Lonchura striata: one gene and its partner. The protein of the gene in region 2 purifies or fractionates together with the protein of the main gene of each other region. This does not show direct contact. Links are inferred from orthologs where the notes say so. Each region holds a gene or a part of one and is shown on either strand. Other genes may lie near its edges.

Region 1 (10,237 bases), on a different chromosome or scaffold from region 2:
TGGTATTTAAGACCTGACACCAGCTGCAAATGCAATTTACACTTAGATATTAAGAAACATTTGGATGAAGATTCAGTTCACCTAAATAAATTTCTCACTGCTTGGAAATTCTCCCTCCCCAATCTACTCAAGCAACCAACAACCAACCCCTCTAGGTTCTCTCTCAGCACTATACAAACAATTCCAGTTAAGTCAAGGATGTTACCCTTCATTAATCTCTTCTAGTTCTTCTTTATGGGATTTACTTCAAGCAGTCAACCAAGACACATGAAGAGAAATTACAGTACACAAGTTAGCGATCAAGTATAGTAAATAACAGTGGGTTTTCACAGAAACTCTTCCTTTGCTTGCTTTTATCTGATACAAGAATAAACTGAGCAGCTGCTGACTGGCTTTCTGCATTTCATTAGAACAGGAAATATAACAGTGTGAACAACAACAAAAAAGTAAATCAATCACCATGCCCTGCTGTCTGGCTGGTAATTAAACATAAACACAAGTTGCTATTATTGTAAAGTCAATCAGCTGGCCAGCAGGGCATGGTTGGTGATTCTGCCCCTCTACTTTGCTCTGGTGAGACCCCAGCTGGAGTGCTGTACCCAGCTCTGGGGTCCTCAGCATAAGAAGGACGTGGATCTGCAGGAGCTAGTCCAGAGGAAGGTCACAGAGATGACAGAGGGTTGCAGTATCTTGCCAAAAAAGACAGGCTGAGAGAGTTGGGGTTGTTCCACCTAGAGAATAAAAGGCTCTGGGGAGAACTTAGAGCAGCCTTCCAGTAATTAAAGGGGACCAACAAGAGAGCTGGAGAGGGACTTTGTACAAGGGCATGTAGTGACAGGACAGGGGGAAAGGGCTTTAAACTGAAAGACTAAGTTTAGATCAAATTATTCAAATTCTTTACTGTGAGGATGGTGAGACACTGAAACAGGTTGCCTAGAGAAGCTGTGCATCTCCCATCCATGGGAGTATTCAAAGCCAGGTAGGATGGGGCTTTGTGCAACCTGGTCTAATGGAAGGTGTCCCTGTCTGCGGCAGGGTGGTTGGAACTAGATGGTATGGAAGGTCCCTTGCAGTCCAAACCATTCTATAATTCTATATTCATTGATCATTCATAAGCAACACTTTGTCAATCATGACAACATTTTCTATCCAGTTTTGTTTTTATAATTTATGAAAAGCACTAGAAACTAGATTGAACTGAATTGCAAGATTAAAAAGAATATTTCAGGTTGGGGGCAGGGTTGTTATCCTTGCAGAGAGGGCATTGTCTGTTCTAAATAAAGAGCTCATTAGGAAGGAAGTGCTGAGTGTACCATGCAGTACCAAAACAATTACTTTGTTAATATGCAAATCCAGTGAAGCCAAATTTGAGTCTTGTACTAACAACAGTGCCTGGTATCATTAGACAAAAGAATATTTGCAGTCAAGGCAATATGTTATAAAACGAACACAAACACAGGACTTAAATTCATCCACAATTAGATAGCAAGGACCCAAGATAATCTTATGGAATCTCTGGCCACCTATCCACTAACACTAATGACATACAAACATTGGTATTTTAAGTTCAGTGCAGCTGCTTCAGTCCACTCCTGATACCTCCTCTGGGGAAACTATTTACTTACACAATTTGCCAATACCACAAACACAAAAGTCAGTTCCATTTAAACAAATAAATCTAATAAGAAACAAACTTACTTCTTTGGTCCCTGAGGATCGATGTGTTGCTCTAACATTAGAAATGTTCCTTGAGCTAGCTGGAGTCGCCAATGGAAGAGTAGTAGAAAGCTGAGGAGGACTCAAAGACATCAAAGGCAACCTGGTATTTCCTAATATGCACTGCTTGGAACTGGAATTTTTACTGGTGAAGCTCTCATTTTTACTGTTTCCTAAATCTGCATTACCAAACTCTGTTTTCTCCTTATTCTTGATTCTTCTCAAGCAGTCCTTCAGTATTAGCTGAGTTGCAGGCTGACTCAACCAGCACAAAAAGAGTTCATCCACCTTCATTTTCACTGCAGGTTGCAGAACTTTTCCAGGTGACATTTTCTGCCAGTTCTCCTGTTTTGTTGGTTCAAATTCAAAGTAAATATTTGACAATCATATAAATATTCCATTCACCTTTCAGTGTTTCACAGGCATTATTTAACAAAATGTTAATATTTATTCCTTCAAGGTATCAACAAAAGTTGAGAATTATATTTTAACATGTGACTTCAACAACATTTTATAAGTGTAAGCCAAAAATCAGAGTCAATTCCAACAAAACAATTTCTTTTAAATAATGGATAACTTCTTTTAAAAGCATACTATGTAAACGGTGGAGACTAGAGACCAAGAAACTGCACTTGGGCTTTCTGAAAGAGATAGCTAACAAATATTACAAATATCCTCTAAGAATATGTGTTAAAAACATATGTATTATGAAAAATAAGACTTGAAAATGCTTATAATTGAACATACTAAGAAGTAAATATCTAAGCAGTTCATGCTAAACCCTGGTGATAGAACAAATAAGATTTAATAAGCAAGTCTTTCAGTCAAGAGATTTAGAACTAAGACTGAAGGCTCAGCTTCCATTCTGAGGTTGTGACAGGGACTTAAAATCTTGCATCCCCTCATGTGAGTGATTCCCAAAGCTCTGTAATTTGGTATTTTAAAAACGTCCTATTTGACACTCACTTTTGCAGTTTTTCAAAACTAATGTAAAATCCAATGTAGCTCAAGAATTATGACAGTGTGATTTCAGGTTCAGTTACTCACCTGAAACAAACAGATTTTTAGTAGTTTTTTGGCAGGTTTTTTCTTTTTTTTTTTGGTGTTAAAAAGACAGAGGACTGGAATGAAACACTGAGAATAAACCAAAGTTACCATAAAGATTTTCAGCATCCATTTACTTAATGATTTGGTACAGTTCAAATGAAAATATATCCTTCCTCATGTTTGTGGTTTTTTTAAAAGCCCTTCACAGAATTTGATCTATATGCATAAATCATATAATAAAATATATATGATTGATGATCTTAGATATCTCTTCCAACCTAAATGATTCTATATACAAATACTTGGCCAAACAAGCTTTAAAACAAGCACTTCAATTTGGAAATGAGTAACAGTGTGAAAAATGCATACTTTATGATTGGCTTATCACAAATATTAAAATGAATATTATATGTGTAATGTTAGAAAGTTATGCTGCATTAATTTTCTCAAATAGTGTGTTAAATATAGTTTTAGGTTATAACATAAGGTTAAAATAAAAACTATGTATGTGGGGTTTCTTTAAAGGAATGAGATACTCGCTTCAAGATAACAGTCCCAGAACACCTAAATCTTCCAGAGAAGAGGAATTTATGATTCTCCTATCAGAAGAAGTTAATTTCTTCAGGCCTTCCTCAGACTCGAAGATGCTGTGAGGATTAAAGGAAACAGTTGACATATAATAGACAGTTTCTTGTTTTAAATAGAATGTATGCATAACCATGAAGTATATATAAATATGCAATAGTGTATTGTTTTAAGTGTGATTCCTTTTTTCACATGGTATGCTTTTCGTGACTTAGTGTCTGAGAGCATCCGGACGTCCGTAATTATCTGCTTTGTATTGTCTTGTAATTGTCCTAACTCTAAATTTTTATTACTCTAATTGTATTACTATTTTTATAACCATTTTATTATTATTAAACTTTTAAAATTTTAAAACCCAAGTGATTGGCGTTTTTCACACCTAGCAAGCGAACATCCTACTAAAACCTAAAGCTCATCCTCGTCCCACGGAAGAACTAGAAGCCTTTTAACACTACTACACCACCTAAACTTTCCAAACCGCTGTAACTTCTCAGTTGAGTTATTCTCTTTCTGCCAATGAAGTCCACCTCGTTTCCTTAGTTTTTTAAGCTCAACACCTTCACGGCACTGGCGGCTGCGCTCAGCCATCCTTAAGCGCCATTCGCCTGGAAAGAAACGGTCCTGGGGAAGGGCCAGCCCGGCGCTGCGGCCACAGGCTCGCTCCCCTGGGGCGAGCCCCGCACTTCGCCTTGCGGCAGCGGCGCGGCGGCAGCTCAGGAGCGACGTGGCTCCACACCAGGAGACAGCCACACTCACCTTCCCCGTTCCGCCTCCGCCGCCGCCCCTTCCCGCCGCCGCCGCCTTCAAACGCGCGCCTCCTTCCGGCCCGGCCCGGCCCGGCCCGGCCGCCGCCATCTCGCGAGAGCGCGGCCCTTCCGCCCCGCGGGACGCGGCCGCCGGTCGCCATGGCAACGGGCCGCTCAGGGCCGCCGGCGCGGCGCGGCGCGGCGCGGCGCTGCCCTTCCCTTCCCTTCCCTTCCATTCCCTTCCCTTCCCTTCCCTTCCCTTCCCTTCCCTTCCCTTCCCTTCCCTTCCCTTCCCTTCCCTTCCCTTCCCTTCCCTTCCCTTCCCTTCCCTTCCCTTCCCTTCCCTTCCCTTCCCTTCCTGCCCTGCCCTGCCCTGCCCTGCCCTGCCCTGCCCTGCCCTGTGCGCAGTTTACAGCTCTGACGAGGTCTCGGCGTCTCACTGCCTCTCTGAGAGGAGCCGGCAAAGTGATGAAGGGGCAGAGTGTCTCCTCAACAAGGTTGCTGATGACACGAAGCCCTTCAGAAAGACCTCGACAGAAAAAAAGGGTCAGAGAACTGTGGAATTCAAAGGCAAATGCAGAGCCCTGCACCTTGGGAGGAATAACCCTGGCACCAGCTGAGGCTGGGAATGACCTGCCGGGGAGCAGCTCTGCTGAGAAGGACCTGGGGGTCCTGGTGGACAACAAGCTGTCCCTGAGCCAGCAGTGTGTCCTTGGGGACAAAGCCAGTGGTATCCAGGGATGCATAAAGAAGAGCACTGCCAGCAGGTCAAGGGAGGTGATCCCGCTCCTCTCCTCAGCCCTGGTGAGGTCCCATCTGGAGTGTCCAGTTCGGGGCTCCCAACCCAAGAGACGTGAAGCTCCTAGAGAGAGTCCAGCAGAAGATGACAAAGAGAATAAGGGACAGGAGCATCTCTGTTAAGAGGAAAGGCAGAGGGAGCTGGGTCTGTTCAGCCTCAAGAAGACATGATTAGGAGAGGACCTTTTTAATGTGTATAAATATCCAAAGTGGGGGTGCTGAGGAGATGGGTCCAAACACTTCTTGGTGGTGCCAACCACTAGTACATGAGGCAAGGGTCAAAAACTGATGCACAGGAAGCTCCACCTGAATGTGAGGGAGAATGTCTTTACTGTGCAGGTAACCACACATGCTGGAACGGATTGCCCAGATTGCCCAGACAGGTTGTAGAGTCTCCCTCATGGAAGATGTACAAGAACCATCTGGATGCACTTCTGTGCCATGTGCTCTAGGATGACCCTGGATCGGATGACCCACTGTAATCCATTCCACACAATTTACCCATTCTGTGGTTCTGTGAAAGTGAGCTTGTTCCATCTGCTAAATGCTGTTAAAAGGAGAACACTAAATGCTCTTTCTACAGAATGGCTATGGTTACCACTAGTGTTACAGGATTGTAAATGATAGGATGAAAGAGGAGGTGGAGGCAGTAACAAATAGAAGGATAATCCTCTTACTAAGAGAATGATGTGCGCCAATCTGTTTGCAGCCCCTTTTTTGTACTGGAAAACATACACTGGGATTTTGTGGTTGTCAGCTTTCAGGGGCACCCCTTTGAGTCTCCCTGGGTGCATTTATCAGTGGGGTTTAGGTGGTTGTCTGTTGGCCCATATAGTTTTTTTCCTTTGGTATTTTTTACATCAGTGACTCATTGGTATATTTACATCACATTCCCTATTTCCACTGCACTGAGTTTTCCTCATATGGCTACACTTCACTTTTGTTAATCCATTTTACATTCTGCCAATTCCTTTACCAGCAGAGACACTACAGATTTATGGCAGGTTATTATTACAAATTGTTGGAACATTAATGTTGTGGAAATGGGGCTGTACTGAACCGAAGATGATACAGTAGTTTGAAGGGAAGGCTTGAAAATGCAAGTAAGAATAAAATGGGGTAAGTGAAGGAATGGGCTTGCTTTCTCATTTTTGGAAGCTTGTAGAAAAGATACAGAGATAAGAAAGGGCTGAGGAGAAACAAAAGCCAAGATGCTGTGAGAGAAATCTGGTACAGTCCAGCACAATTATGTTTGGGTAATACCAGAATGATATTTTGATAATAACAGTCATCTGGAAAAACCCAGTATTACTCTATCAGAAGGCTTTAGCTTCCAGCTGTAGACACTGAAATATATTTTCAATATATTTTCACAAATCTCAAAATGAGATTCTGCACTTAAAAAGACATTGAAAGTTCTTGAGGGAGTCTCCACTTTTTGAAGTAGGGGTAGTATTATGTTTCCTGCCCATTGGTTGGTGAAGTTAGAAAATATATTTTTGGAAAGCCACAGTGGACAAAATGGCATTTTTTAAACTGGAGTAAAACATTCAACATAACACAGCGGAAGCAGATGTCGAAGTACGGATAAATCTGTATATAATATGGAAGTAGCTTTTAAGTAGAGAAAAGAAATTTAAAACCCTATGTTATGGATAGCAGCAAGATTTTTGGCAGAGAACTGAAGGGCTGAATTATGAAGACTGATAGCAGAGCAAGAGACATGGAACAAAGAGGACTTTTAAAACATTTTGAATGCCTTTGAAGCATTCCTTAGTGATGGTGTAGCCATCTGTTGATTGACATGTTGAAGACAGGTGGGAAGAAGGGGATCAGAGACTGACTTGACAGAGTTGTAGAGTTGGATATCATCTGCAAAGAGATGATGCCCTTTGTTGAAACTGGCAATGAGATCTCCCAGAGGAACATGAGAAATAAGAAAAAAAGAAATTAAATAAACCCTCTGAGAGATGCACACAGTCATTGTGTTCTCTCATGCATGCTAGTGTAGATTCAAAGCATTTCTAGCTCTGACGTCATTAGAGTGTCACGGATAACACTGGTGTGAGAGAGGAATCAATTACATCTGCCTTCTGTTAAGAGGAAAACACTTTGGTCATCCTCACCAGATTGTACCAGAACTGGTAATTGAGACAGATGTTTTGAACTTGTGTCTGGATGAATCAGCTCTACTCAGCAGTGTGTCTACTGGTAGGGGTGTGTGTTTGTAGAGATACAGGGGCTCAAACTTGGGCAAAAGTGGAGAAATACCTAAATTGAACCTCTTTGTTCAGATCTTCCACCGAGAATTGAAACTTGAAATCCTTTTTGCTGCTATTTCCTTTTGTTTGCTTGACATGGTGACTACAGAAGCTGAACCTTTTTTACATTGCTTTCAATGTATGGAAAACAAAAATCTGTTCTAGGGTCTTACCATTTTAATGAAATGTATCCATATGGTTTAAGGATGGTCACCTTTAAAAATCCACTGAATAATTATTAAATATTAAAGTACTGAGCATGCAATATCTAACTGATACCTGAAAGTTTAGTGATGGAGTCACACTTAGCATTGCTGTAAAAGACACAGACTATGCTTTAGGTGAGGCACTTGTTTAATAAGTGCAGCAGAGTGGTGCATTGATGTAACTTGAGCCAATTAATAACAGGAGTGCTTGGGCCCAACAGCCCAGTGCAGTGGAGTTAGGATACCATACAGGTGTAGCACGGTACCTCCCTTCATGCTGTGTGTGGAGGTACTAACCCCAGTGCAGAAACTGAAGAGCCACATCCAGCTCTTGTTGGCTCTGCTGCCTACAGCTAATTTCTCATTTTGCTTCACTAGTATTGACTCAGCAAGTGTGATATTAGCAGTACTGTCAATATATGTTCCTGGCTAAATATCAAAGTCTTCCTTTGCCTTTATTTGTCACTGTGTACAGTGGCACAGGACAATGGTGTTCATAAGGAATATTTCCATTCCTTACCAGCATTTTGAAGTGAGAGCTGGGCTTCTTTCTGATAACCTAGGGTCTGTACAACTTAGACATACAGGTAATAAAGAGATGTCTCCAATCTCTCTGTGCTAAAGCAACATTTCTAAGGCCTGATAAATGTTATCCAGAGGTTGACATCTAACCTAGATCAGCTGTAACATGACTTAAAAGTGTTCCTCTCCACTACTTAATAAGAATCTCAATTAGAATTTGAGGTACATATAACTACATTTTAGAAATCTAAAATTAGATAGGATAAATGTGTTTGGAGAATTATATTTACTTGCTTGCACAGGGCTATGTCAGATGTACTCTCATCCCATCTCAAAAGCAGTTATCATCCTTAAACAGAGTGGCAGGTTGAGGTGGAACACGTCTGAGATCAAAATACAGTTCACTGCAGGATCTTTCTGACTCCTTATTCTGGAACATTTCATGTGCCTTTGTGCTGGTATATCTGGGCTTCACAGGGGTAGTATGAGCTTGCTTTGGATTTCTGTTGAATATGGGGTTGGTAATGGAGAAATGTTTTTGTCATTGCTGAGCAGGACTTACAGAGAGCCAAGGCCTTTTATGCTTTTCCTACTGCCAGGCTGATGAGCAGACTATGGATGCATGGGAGACTGTGAGCCAGGACAGCTGACCCCAACAGACCAAAGGGATATTCCAGACTATATGACATCATGATCAGTACATAAAGAGGGGAGAAGAAGGAGGAAGAGGGGGAATGTTTGTTGGAGTCATGATTCTTGTCTTCTCATGTCACTGTTCTGTATGATGAAGCCCTGCTCTCCTGGAGATGACTGAACATCTGCCTGCCCATAGAAGCAGTGAATTAATTTCATTGTTTTGTTTTGCTTGCGTGCATAGCTTTTGCCTTTCTTCTTAAACTGTGTTTATCTCAACCCATGAGTTTCACACTTTTACCTTTCCAATTCCCTCCCTGATCCTGCTGGTGGGGGAGTGAGTGAGCAGCTGTGTAGTATTTGGTTGATGACTGCGGTTAAACTATGATAGCCTGTCACTCAGAGAAGAGAACTACAGTACCGCTTTTGAATGCTGCTTTAAGGACATTATTGCATTTTGATTTGGCTTTTACTTTTATAATTCTTTTATAATCCTTTTGCTGACATAGTTCACAACTTTGAAATTTAGGCATGTGAAGTCCAGTTCTAACCTGTATATAGGTACTAAAATAACTATGTCTTGATTTCCGGATGTGCTAACTTAGTTGGAAGCAGGTGTGCTGAATATCTCTGACAAACCAGTCACTTTTATTTAAGTTGTTGTTATTGGAAATTTTAGCCAGATGGGTTCATTGAGGTTCCTTGTAAACCTGCTTATGGTATGCAGTCAAGGAGACTTCAGGGGAGTGTATATGTTACTTTCCATCAAGTGAAGGATAAAGTCTAATGTACTGTCACTCAGATTCCTAGTCCTGGTAGTAATTTGGGGGAATTAAGAGGATTTTACATGCCTTATGCTGCATCAATTAAAATGAAGATAAATATTAAGAAAACGGTAGTAACTGGTAATCCACTGAACTATGTACCCATACCAGCTAACCATACCACTCCATGCTTTCTTCTGGCAGCTTACCAAAAATAGAGCTGGAATGGTGAACTGTAGGTCATATGGCCTCCAGAAGTAGCATCATAAGCAGGCAAAGATATGTCAGCAATGCTGACTTGGTGCACATGTTTGGCAGCAAGCAATGCTCTCTGAAGAGCCTAATACTGGGATCTGAGGCTTGAATTTTCTCTGTCTCCTACCACCTTGAGGTAGAATACTGCAGTAATATAGGATCTGATTGTGCTGGTGCACAACTCCTTTAAGAGCAAATAAGAGATATAATTACAAATTCTTTTGTAACCTGCCAGCTTTCATTGTGAGTAGAGGCATTTAAATGTTCTGTACTTGCAGACACATTTTGTTTCCTCCTTATCATATGCACCATGTAGTTAGAATAAGGCCTTGTCCCTGGCTCTCTCCTTACCTGAGCAGTTGGTTTAATGCAGGAATATTACATCTCTGCAAGAAAAAAAAGAGTATGAAATGTTGATTCTGTAAGAGCAGGTGCACTACAAGCCAAACAAAAAAATTTATTCAGCAGTTGTTTGCATTATGTTTTTAGATTAATTCCTACTGCATATCACTGTAGAGCTCTAGCAATGAGCAGTTCTTATGCATTTTACTGAATTACTGTTGGTGTGTTGGTTTTTTTCCATGGGGGCCTTGGACTGAGCAATGTTTACAGCAGTCCAGATGTGAAGACTGGTTCTGCATTAAGTCACCCTGATCTTCTAATCCCAGGTTCACATACTTCTAGTGCTGCATTTTATCCGATGG
Region 2 (10,338 bases):
TTGTGTCTGGAGACTTCCCACCAATCCTGAAGAGCTCCATAAGGTCGTGGAACTGCCCGTGGACATCCCCGCAGACAGTGACGGGGCAGCGCACCTCTTGCACATTTGATTCCTTTGTAAGGATTTCTTTAGCCTGGCAAGGAAAGCATGTTTAGGGCAACAAGGTAGGAAGCTCCTCCAGAAGCTGGTGATATTATTCTGCTGCATTCCCACTGGAAACCCAGTTTCATCCCCGCTGCTCAAGCCAACCACTGGAAAAAGTTTGGTGAGCACAGACAAGGGGTGTTTCCCAAATCCCAGTGCACGGGGATGAACAGGCCATCCTTTACTACAGCAAGGCCAGATGCCCTTGCCCGGGGTACATTTTGCCCAACAGAATTCCAATCCTCTTCCCAGCACAACAGTTCAGCAACTTCTACGGGCTAGTCACTTACAACTGGAAAGCAGAGACAGAGGCAGTTGGAACATATGGAGCCACAACCAGCTTCCCTGGCTGTGCCCAGCTGGCAACAAAACAACTACAGATGGAGGGATGGCATCCCTGGATTTAGTCATCTCTTCTCCCACACCCAGCAGTTCCTCTGCTAATTACAACCATGCAATGTAGCCTATCTGCACCACCTTATTATCCTTATCAAATACCAGGTTTGTTGTGCTGCCTGCAGCTCACTGACTGATGCTGAACAGCGCTCCTGGCACATCTGAGGCACAGGGAACACCCACAGGATGGCTCCATCTGATCCAAACAAAAGGGCTGGAAGATCACCAACACTGAGCAATCACCAGCAGGTGATGATCTGGGTATTCCCTGCCATATCCCTTAGCTCAGGATGAGCTAAGGCTCACCCTGTGCTGCCAGAAGGGAACCGCTTCCAAATGATACCCTCTGTGGGCTTCCTGAGGATGCCTGAGTTTCCATTCCAGTGCTTGCTGCCTTGCCTCTTTTAGGTAGAACATGTATTTGGAAGGAGTAACTACACCCCAAGCAGTTTGGACTGCATCCAGCATGCTCTCTGCACAGAACCTAACTTGACGGATCCTTAAAGTCACATCCTGCCCATGGATTTGACGAGTTGGGCTCTGCCTTGCACTTCTGGCATGACTGGGAACTGCTGAACATGTTGTATTTGAGTGCAGTAGTAGCACTCAAATTCTGCTTGCACGTCTTTAAAAGCATTTATAGTGCCTTCTGAGAGCTTCCACCCTCTGGGAGAGACAAATATAAACCCACAAAACAGCTGCTCCGTGTGTTCTGGCTGTTGCACAAAGCAACAGGCAGGGGTTTGTTCCAAGCTGGAGCTCAGCAGTGCTCCTTTTCCACAGGAACAGGGCAAATGGGCTCACTTTAAACCTACCCTAGGAATGGGGGACAGCCCACGACCTGAAACGTTGGTGCTAGGAGAATCCAAAAGTTTCCCCTGATGAGGAAGGAGGAGCTGGCAGGTGACAGGAGCGGCTCCTTCCGCTGCCAAGCAGCTGTTCCCCTGCAGCCCATTTTAGCTCATGCTGTGGACAGTCGTCGGTGCACGTGGACAGATCCAGGCTGTCATTTGAACTCTGCCGAGCCAGTTTACATCAGGGTCGGGAGCCCCAGTTTGCCCTCACATGATGATCTTCTCATGCAGAACAAGGCTTGCAAAATGCTCAGCATCGATAAAAACACCCCAGAAAAGCAGTGACTAACCAGCGCATCTGCCTGCAGCGTGAACATTGAAATCAAATTACTTAAAATAAAAAGCACTATTACAAAGCAAAAATAAAAACCTCTGATGCAAGCAGGCTGCCTGGCATCATCAGCACTTACTTAATCCAGGAGGCTAATAAATAACTATGACTTAGAAGTCAAAATTTAGCTACCTTTGTTGCAGAAAACAGTGACTAATGGTATCAGCCTCCTGTGCATCTGTCCCACTTGTGCTGGATGAAAACCATATCCAGGTCAGGACAAAAAAGCAGCAGTCTTTAGGTGTTTTTGTTAAATAAAACTCCCTTGCATTAAGTAAACTGAACCAATGGTTGTCTGTCTGTGCTCAACTCCTGGTGTGTTTCTGAAGAGCCTCAGAGAGAGAAGAAACTCCATTCCTTCAGGAAAACTGATTCCCTCAGCTTGATCTGACCCATAGAGGCTCGTTCTCTGGGAACCTGAAGCCAGGCGTGGAGTTGGGGATCCAAATTCACCTGAACCTTCATCCCACCAATGGCCACAGACCAAACTACTGTACCAACAAGTGGGCTGAGGCTATGAACCTCAGGGAGCTTGGCTGGAATGCCAACCAGCCAAGTGAGATGGAAGCCAGAGGGATGGCAGGGATGGAGCTGTCTCACCCTTCAGGAATGAGGCACCCAGAGCCTCTGCTAAGGTGCTCCCTGATCCAGCACCCCCCGGGATGAACATCACCAACAGAGTGATAAAACACTGCCAGCCATGACACAACACAGGGAATCTCCTGTGTCCCCTCTCACACCTCCAAGGAACCAGGAGAGGAAAGATAAGCTGCAAGGAGAGGGATGGTCATGGATGGCTGCTTGTTTAATTCAGGAGGCAGCCTTTTCCTGCCTTCTTCCATTGCCCATTTGATCATCTTGGTGAAGAACCCTTTTGCCTGGATTAAGCAGGGTGGCTCTCAACTCCCTCACCTGCACCCCAAACGTGGAAGCTTGAACAGTGACCAGAATTAATCCTTCTATCAGCCTCTGAATTTCTGTAGGATTTGAGCTAATTTCCCTTTTAAACACCAAGAGAATGGGAACAAGGTTATCACGTTGAGGAACAGCACCTCCCTCACCTGCAGGAGCCACAGGGGGCTGATCAGCTGCCTAATGAGCTTGCCACTGGGCAGGTGAGGACAGAATGTCACTGCCACAGCTGCAAATTTCAACAACTTTTACGAGTGCACAATCACTGGGCACACCTTCATTGTGTCCAATCCTCCCCTCAGCACTGCCCTCTACGCCACTACCTAAAACCAAAAATGATCCACACAGATAGCTCTGGGATTTCATTGTGGTTTTTTTGTTTTGTTTTCTTTTCTTTTTTCCCTTCATTTTGATTTTTTGTTTTAGGACTGAGTTCTTCCACAACTTGAAACCTGAGGCAAAAGGTACTACTGTCCTGAGTGTCTCTGAAATCAGCCCCAAAAACAAGAGTGTTACAAAGTGTTCTGGAGAAGAGGATTCCTCCAAATATAATTTCAAGGAAACCAACTAAACCAGCTTTGTGGCAGGGCTGCACACCCAGAGTTTTTTGTAAGCTCCTCTCCTGGGTGACACAACCACTCCCCAAAACTTAAACAAGCCAAGTCAGTGCAGGGCACAGTGTTTCCTTCATGCCCCAGCCGTTTCCCTCCGTTTCCAGCAGCCTGGAAGAACGAGGTGCTGTGACAGATGACACACCTCCCTGTCACCTGCTTCCTGAAGGACAAACACCCTCCCCACCTACAGCTGAGCTCTCCTGTCAGCCTTCAGCTTCCCAAAATACAGCAGCCACAATTCCAGCGTCCTAAAGAGCCACAGCTCCCTCATAACTGATGGAGCTCTGGAGAAAAGAGGCACAAAACAAACGGATGGCTCCAGCACAGGACTGAGAAAACAAAAAGGAAGAAACCAGAAAATGTGTGTGGGGGGGGGTGGTTAGGGAGTGTCAGGATCACTGTTGGAAGAACGTGCCAAGGAAAATCTTCCCTTGGTCACAGACTGCAGTGCTAAGGGAGTGCTCACAAACTGCTACTGGACTGCTCAGACAACACCTAGCACAAGTCTAAGGACCTTTCCCCCGATGGGAAAAAAAGGTTTTTCCCAGTGCCCACTAAACAAATCCAAGCACGCGTTTGCCAAGGCCTGTCCATACCGCAGCCCAGAACAGCAGACAGTGTCCTTTATCCGACCATTCCTCTTTCTATTTTGGTCGCCTCAGCAGGCTGCGAGCCTGTTTGCGGCTCACCTCTGCTTCCCGAGATCCCACCTCGGAAGTCAGTGGGCTTCCTCACTGACTCGGGGTTGATTTTCCAGCGCCTGGCTCCTCCACGTTGTGTAGGACACCAGGACATCGGATACTCCAGGGCCACCACCCCGGTGTCCCAGCGCGGGACGCTCCAGAGGGAGCGCCCCGGCCACCCCACGTCCACTCTGACAGACACCATCCCAAAGATCCAATGGCGGATATCCCACAGGCGCCATCCCGCTCTCCCAAAACCCACAGGCACCAGCCGCTTTCCCAGTGCCAACACCCCACAAGCACCGCCCGCTTTCCCAGCGCCCGACATCCCAGCAGCCGCATCCCTGCCTCCCAAAACTCGCTGTCCCGCAGGCACCACCCCGCTCTCTCCACGCCCGGTATTCCACAGGCACCACCCCGCCCCCCAGAGCCCGGTATCCCCCCGGCCACAAGCCGGTCTCCCAACGCCGGACACACCGCGGGCACCGTCCCGCCCTCCCAACGTCCGGGCCCCGCACTCACCTTCTCGCACAGGCTGCGGACCTGGCTCTCGCTCAGCTGCCGGCACTCGTTCAGCTGCTCGATCCACTGGTCCAGCTCCTTGGCGAAGCCCTTCTCCTCCATGGCGAGGGGGGCCGGGCGGGCCCCCCGAGGCCCGGGCCCGCCTGTGGGTGCCGGCGGCGGCCGGGGACGCGCGGCCCGCTCGGGGCTGCTCCGCTCCGCGTAATGGCGGCGCCCCCCGCCTGCCGCGGCTGCTGCGCACTTCCGGCCACGCCCACGGCCGCGCGCCGCCGCTTCCGGCGCGCGGAGTCGGCCTCAGAGCCCCGCCCCTCCCGCTGGCCCCGCCCCCGCCGTGGCCACGCCCCCTCCCGGCTCCGCTCGGCCGCGCTCGCCCCGCCGCAGGAAAAAGGAATAAACTGCTCCCTTCTCGCCGGGGAAAAAGGATTAAATCAAAGGTTTTGCGCCCGCTGTCGGAGTCGAGTCGCAAGCGTTGGTAGCAGGGCCCGGGAATGTGACAATCCCTGTCTGGCGCGGTATTAATTCCTTTCGCCATATTCCCGTGAAATACTGTGGAGCAGTAATCGCTACAGGAGCGCGTGTACGATGATGTACTAAATATGACACATGATTAGTGAATATAAGCAGTCAAAATGAATACATTTGCTACAGTCTGGCACTCATCTCGCCCTCAGCTTTAAACTGTGACAGACCTGCAGAAATCCCTCCTTGCTGCTCTTTATTTATATAATCTGCTTTGGACTCGTTCTGCTGTGTCCCCTGTACCCAAATGGAGCAGTAATATCGTGACAGAGATGCAGTAACTGAGGCTACGACACTGCCACAACCCGGAGTGCCCAGCCCAGGCAGAAAGGACTGGGATTGGAGGAGACCCCTGAGGGAAAACTTCCCTGGGATTTTTAGCAGGATAAAATAGATCAAGTCCACGTGGTGTGTTTTTTTCATGTCAGATGGGAAGGCTGAGGAGCTGCTCAGGCTGTCCGACCAGGAACACTCATGGCCATCACAGGTCCCTTAATCTCCTTTGGATAGAAGAGATGGACTTGAGGAATTCACCCTGAACTGAGGGAAGAAAATGAAAGGATTCACAACATTGTGTCCCTAAAGTGAATTTTCTAACCGAAAATACAGCTATAAAAAGTAAAAGAGAACAATTTACAAAAAACACAGCTTTGTAGCTACTGTTCTGGAGGACAATCGCTTGCCAGTCCAGTTCCCAGGAAAGATAGCTGCCAGGAACTGTTCATGCTCCTCTGGATGTTTTATTTGCTGATTGGTTTTCCAGAAGGTCATTTCTAACCATATTTTCCATGTTTGTGGCACTGCAGCAGAGCACGGCCATGGGATAAGGCAAATCCTGCCTCGTGGCATTGGACAATAAATCTTCCCAGCCCGGAGCATATGGGAGAGCAGCACCCCCAATAAAAATCATCCCTGGCTTGTCCAAAATGACCCAAAAAAGGGCATCCTGAGTCTCAGGAGGCCAGCCTTAAAACAAATGCTGAGTAGCTTTTATTCTGTCTTTCAGTTTCTGGAGGTTTCCCCATGATTTAATTTGAGGAAACAAAGCACGGACACATGGATGTGCACGCTTTGGTGCTAAGTTTCTATTTACTGATTCCTTGCCACCATTAAAATGTTTAATAGGCGACGCTTAAATGGAAAGATCCAGCTGAGATATTTCTCTTGGCTCCCGGTCAGGAATAAAGAGGTTTCTGAGGTATCGATCCGATGGCAGGTGCTCAGCAAAGCTCCAGCAAAATCTCACAGCCTGAGCCAGGACCTTCCTCAGAGCAACACGACGTGGTTTGCTGGAAAGAGGGAGCTCTTGGGATGAGCTGGGGATTTTCCTGCAAAGGAGTGGCAGGGACAGAGCCTGCGGAATCTCCCGGCAGCAGAGGGGGACATTCATCAGGCTCCCTGGCAGGGAAAACTGACAAGCCTCAGCGACAGGGAATTAATGAAGGCAGGATTTTCCACCACCTTCTCTAAAATCTCATCATCTCTCTGCTAGAACCTTCTAAAAAGGCAATGCTGGTGAAGTGGCATGAAAGGCTACTTTATTAAAAAACACATTACTGTTGGCTGTGTAACATTAAACCCCCCCATGGGGTACCTTGCTTTCTTATTCTTGTGACTTTTCCACTGAAACTCGGCTTTTTAGAGTGTGATACAAAACACAGGAGAAACAGAGGCAGAAAAAATTACTCATGGCCACCATTGCCTATGGAAGGCACTGCCTGGGCTTATCCACTGCTTCCCAAAGGGTGCTGGATTCCTGTGTTTTAGAGAGGGGAAAAAACCCACCCCCACAATGAATAAAATAAATCAGTAAAGTTCTTCCTTCTGCCAGCAGCTGAGGGAGCACAAACTCAGTGGGAGCTGCTCCAAGGGCACCTGACCCCCCCTGAGGGTGCAGAGGAGCCCCAGACCACCCAGGGGTATGAGGATAAGGATCCCTAAAAGACATTTTGGAGTGCAGGCACAGCATTTTTGCAGTGGATGGGAGGCAGACCTACCTGGCAGCAGCCTCCATGAAGCCTGGATTCTTTCTCCCAGCGTTTCCCCACAGGATTTGTCTCCCTCCTTCCCGTGGTGGCATCTATCACCATGGGCAGCACTGTGAGGAGCAGCAGGCAACATTACAACATCTTGATAAACTGGGAAAAAAAGCCAGGGAGAAGTCAGAGGGGAGGAAAGAGGCAAAGAGAGGGGGAATGATGCCAGGAGAAGGGAGATGAATCTCTGAAAATGGACTCTGTTGACGTAATGTATGCACAGGGATGGATTCCGAAAGAAAGGAGAGTGACCAAACCCTCACAAGAATCCTCCTGAAATGTCCCTCTCAGACACAGCTGCATCTTTTAGGGAATAAAAAATGTCCTCCTGTAGCAGCAGTCCAGAACAATTTTAATCCCCAAATAGCTGTTTTGGGGAGGGGGGGGGGAGGAACCTCAAAACCTGCAAACCTTGCAACAGGTTTTGTATGCAAACGCAGGCGAATCTGGAATATTTGCTTATTCCTTTTATTGAACCTGCAGGCTGATTTGATTACCTCCCTGGAAACGCGTGTGCAAATCGGTTTTCCAGCCTTTTGAGGGCACTGCCTTCCGCCGCGACGTCTCCAGTGAGTGATGCCAACGTCTGGCTAATGCGATGTGCAGGAAGAGCCGGCGTTGGATGCCGACGCCGATGCCCGGAGCTCTGGGCCGCTGGCGGCCATAAATCCCTCCATTCCCAAATGCAAACCGCTGCCGTCGGAAATGCCTCACCCTGAAAAAACGTGTCAGCAACAATTCAATGGCTCAAATGAGGCGGGCTGAGGCAGAGCCGTTCCTCTGCCACGCGCTTACCCGGATAGAAGGAGCCGATGATGGAAGACTGGGGGGGAAAAGGGCATCAAATTGAAAAGCCCCGGGGAGATGAATGGGAGATAACGGAGAGAAAAACATTTACAGGCTGAAATGATTCCCCCTCCTGGAAACATTTCCTTCTCGCCTCCCTGGGAAGTGCTCAAAGGAGAGCTGTGAGGCAGGCATCTCGGAGCAGGGGCAAATATGGTGGTAAGAATCCGAGCAGACAGTTAAGACTACACAAGTAAGCAAATTTATTTGAAGACAGAACAAATATCGTGGCAAACAACAATATGCAAATTCAGTTGAGAACAGGGGTAAATATCAGACTTTGTTTTCAAATCGATATAAAATATATTCAGATTTAATTTTGTCCAAAAAGCAGCTCGCATTGGGGTGGGGGGTTGGAGGGGATGGCCCTGTTCACGCCATCCAAAGTGTGTGTCACCTGGAAAACCTCAGGATTGGGAGGTGGCTCCTCTGCCAGCAGAGATGAGCCATGCTGGGAGGAGATGGAGGCGCCTTTGGGACTCTAAATTTCTACCTCCTTTTCTTCTTAAAAGCCAATTTTTGTCACAAAGCAAGGAGCTGATTCATCCCCTCCAAGACCCTCAGTGCCCACCCACCTATGTTTGGATTATGCAGTCATGAGGATCCCATCTGCTTTTTAGGGTTGGACATCTTTGAAGGCACCTGCACCTCCTCTTCCTCACTGGCTCCTGATGTATCAACCTCCAGCAGCTGAGCCTGAAAAGCCAGTGAGGGAGCAGCTCACCTCGGATGCCAGAGGAGTGAACAGGACGAAATCCCCTCCCGGGGCGAAGGTGCTGGCGGGCTGCTTTCTAGAAAAACCATCCCAAAATAAAAGCAGACATAGAAAACATTAGATTGTCAATGAGGCTTTGAAACAAATTCAAGTTTATCCTTAATTTTTCTCATATGTGTGTGTCTGTGTGTGTGTGTGTGTGTGTGAGACTTGATACAAACAGACGAGAAAGACGTGGTGAACTTCAAGCTGGGGACAGGCATGTGGTCAGTTAGAGTCCGCAGGAGCACCATCGGATACGGAGGAGTTAGCACCAGAGAGTTTGGAGGACCCAACTGAGCACATGCGTCCTTTGGGAATGGGCAGTGGGGACACATGGAACAGTCCATTAGAAACAATACAAGGCAATTCATGAGTTTTCATACAGTACAATACAGTCACTGATCAATTAACCCTTTCAGTACAGTACATGACAAGTAACACTTTGCACCCTGTTAGCACTAGGAAAGGAGGGTTTGGGCTGGAGAGGGGTGGCTGGTGAGCTGTCCCTTCTGCCCTTGGATTTCAGGGACTGTGGATGCTTCGGCCGCTTTCCCACCCCAGCTCGGACTGCCCGACCCCAGCCTGGCTCCCGCGGGGATGCGCTGGTGGAGCGCAATGCCACCAGTCCATCCACCCACAGCGAGGGCTGCACCCAAATCACAGAATCCTAGAATCCCAGAATGGAGGGGACCCCAAAGATCATCTCATTCCACCCTCCCTGCCATGGGCAGGGACGCCTTTCACCAGACCAAGCTGCAAAATGGTCCTGGTTTGACCACGGGGATGGAAGAGCCACTCCTCTCTGCCCTGTGCCAGCCACCAAACCAATGAGAAAACCTCCAATTCAAGCTCCACCTGGCCAGTTCTGGTGCCAAAACACACAGAAAAAGGTTCGGGGGCTGCATTCAGTCGGCCTCATGCCAAACCTGCTTCTTCCCTCAGGCGTAGTGAGAACAGGGTCCATTGGAAAAGTGCTAAATTACAGTACATTGGCATTTCCATATGTCAACTATTGAACAGCAAAACAGATTGTTTGAAAACAGAATCAGTATCGTACAGTAAGTTCACACTTAATTCTTCACCGTTTCTACACTTGTAACACATGCATTTTATTTCCATTAGTTTAATGCCAGTAGGACCAACATCCTCCAGAACAATGATCTAACATTAAACAAAACTTCCTAAGGAAAATATTAAGCATCACATAAAGTTTCAGGAAAAAACCTGTTAATTAGCATCACAAGGTACTCAGATTTACATTTAGGAGTTTTCATGCCATAACTTTAAAACACCTTTTGGTTAATATCCTGGGGGTAGGGGAAAACAACCCCAAAAAAACGCAAACAAAAAAAAAAAAAAAAAAGAAAGAAAAGATTTAAAAAAGGAATGTTTTGGAAAATAATATATTTCTCTATGTGTATACACACCCAGAGACAAGCACGAACACGCGGGCTGGTGCATGGGTGTGTGCACAATTTTGTTTTGATAAACTTGACTCATTTCAAGTGCATTTTCATGGGTCCAAAAAGACTTTCAAGGAAACAAAATCTAAACTACTGAAGCAAATTAAAATGTCTCTCTTGGAGGAACAGAAAAGGTTGGTAAAGCATTGCCTGTGTGCTGTTACAATGCGCTTCCCCACGAGCTATCTGAAAACCCAAACAACTAAAAATCCTTTTTTTCCACCTAAAAGGCCCTTCCAGAGAAAAGGGTGCTGTGCTAGC

Evidence for each region.
Region 1: the proteins of PPP2CB (region 2) and PPP2R3B purify together in Homo sapiens (affinity purification with mass spectrometry; 3 studies listed by BioGRID and IntAct, counting the BioPlex papers as one, with this or other methods). This does not show direct contact. The link is inferred for Lonchura striata from reciprocal best matches to the Homo sapiens genes PPP2CB and PPP2R3B.

The regions. Positions count from the first base shown.
Region 1 is NC_134604.1:83,951,333-83,961,569, reverse strand, and holds the start of PPP2R3B (serine/threonine-protein phosphatase 2A regulatory subunit B'' subunit beta), read right to left. Parts: upstream 4,163-10,237; 5' UTR 4,105-4,162; intron 2,062-4,104; 5' UTR 2,047-2,061; coding exon 1,699-2,046; intron 1-1,698. UniProt on the Homo sapiens protein: The B regulatory subunit might modulate substrate selectivity and catalytic activity, and might also direct the localization of the catalytic enzyme to a particular subcellular compartment.
Region 2 is NC_134606.1:72,151,250-72,161,587, reverse strand, and holds the start of PPP2CB (serine/threonine-protein phosphatase 2A catalytic subunit beta isoform), read right to left. Parts: upstream 4,644-10,338; 5' UTR 4,559-4,643; coding exon 4,457-4,558; intron 134-4,456; coding exon 1-133.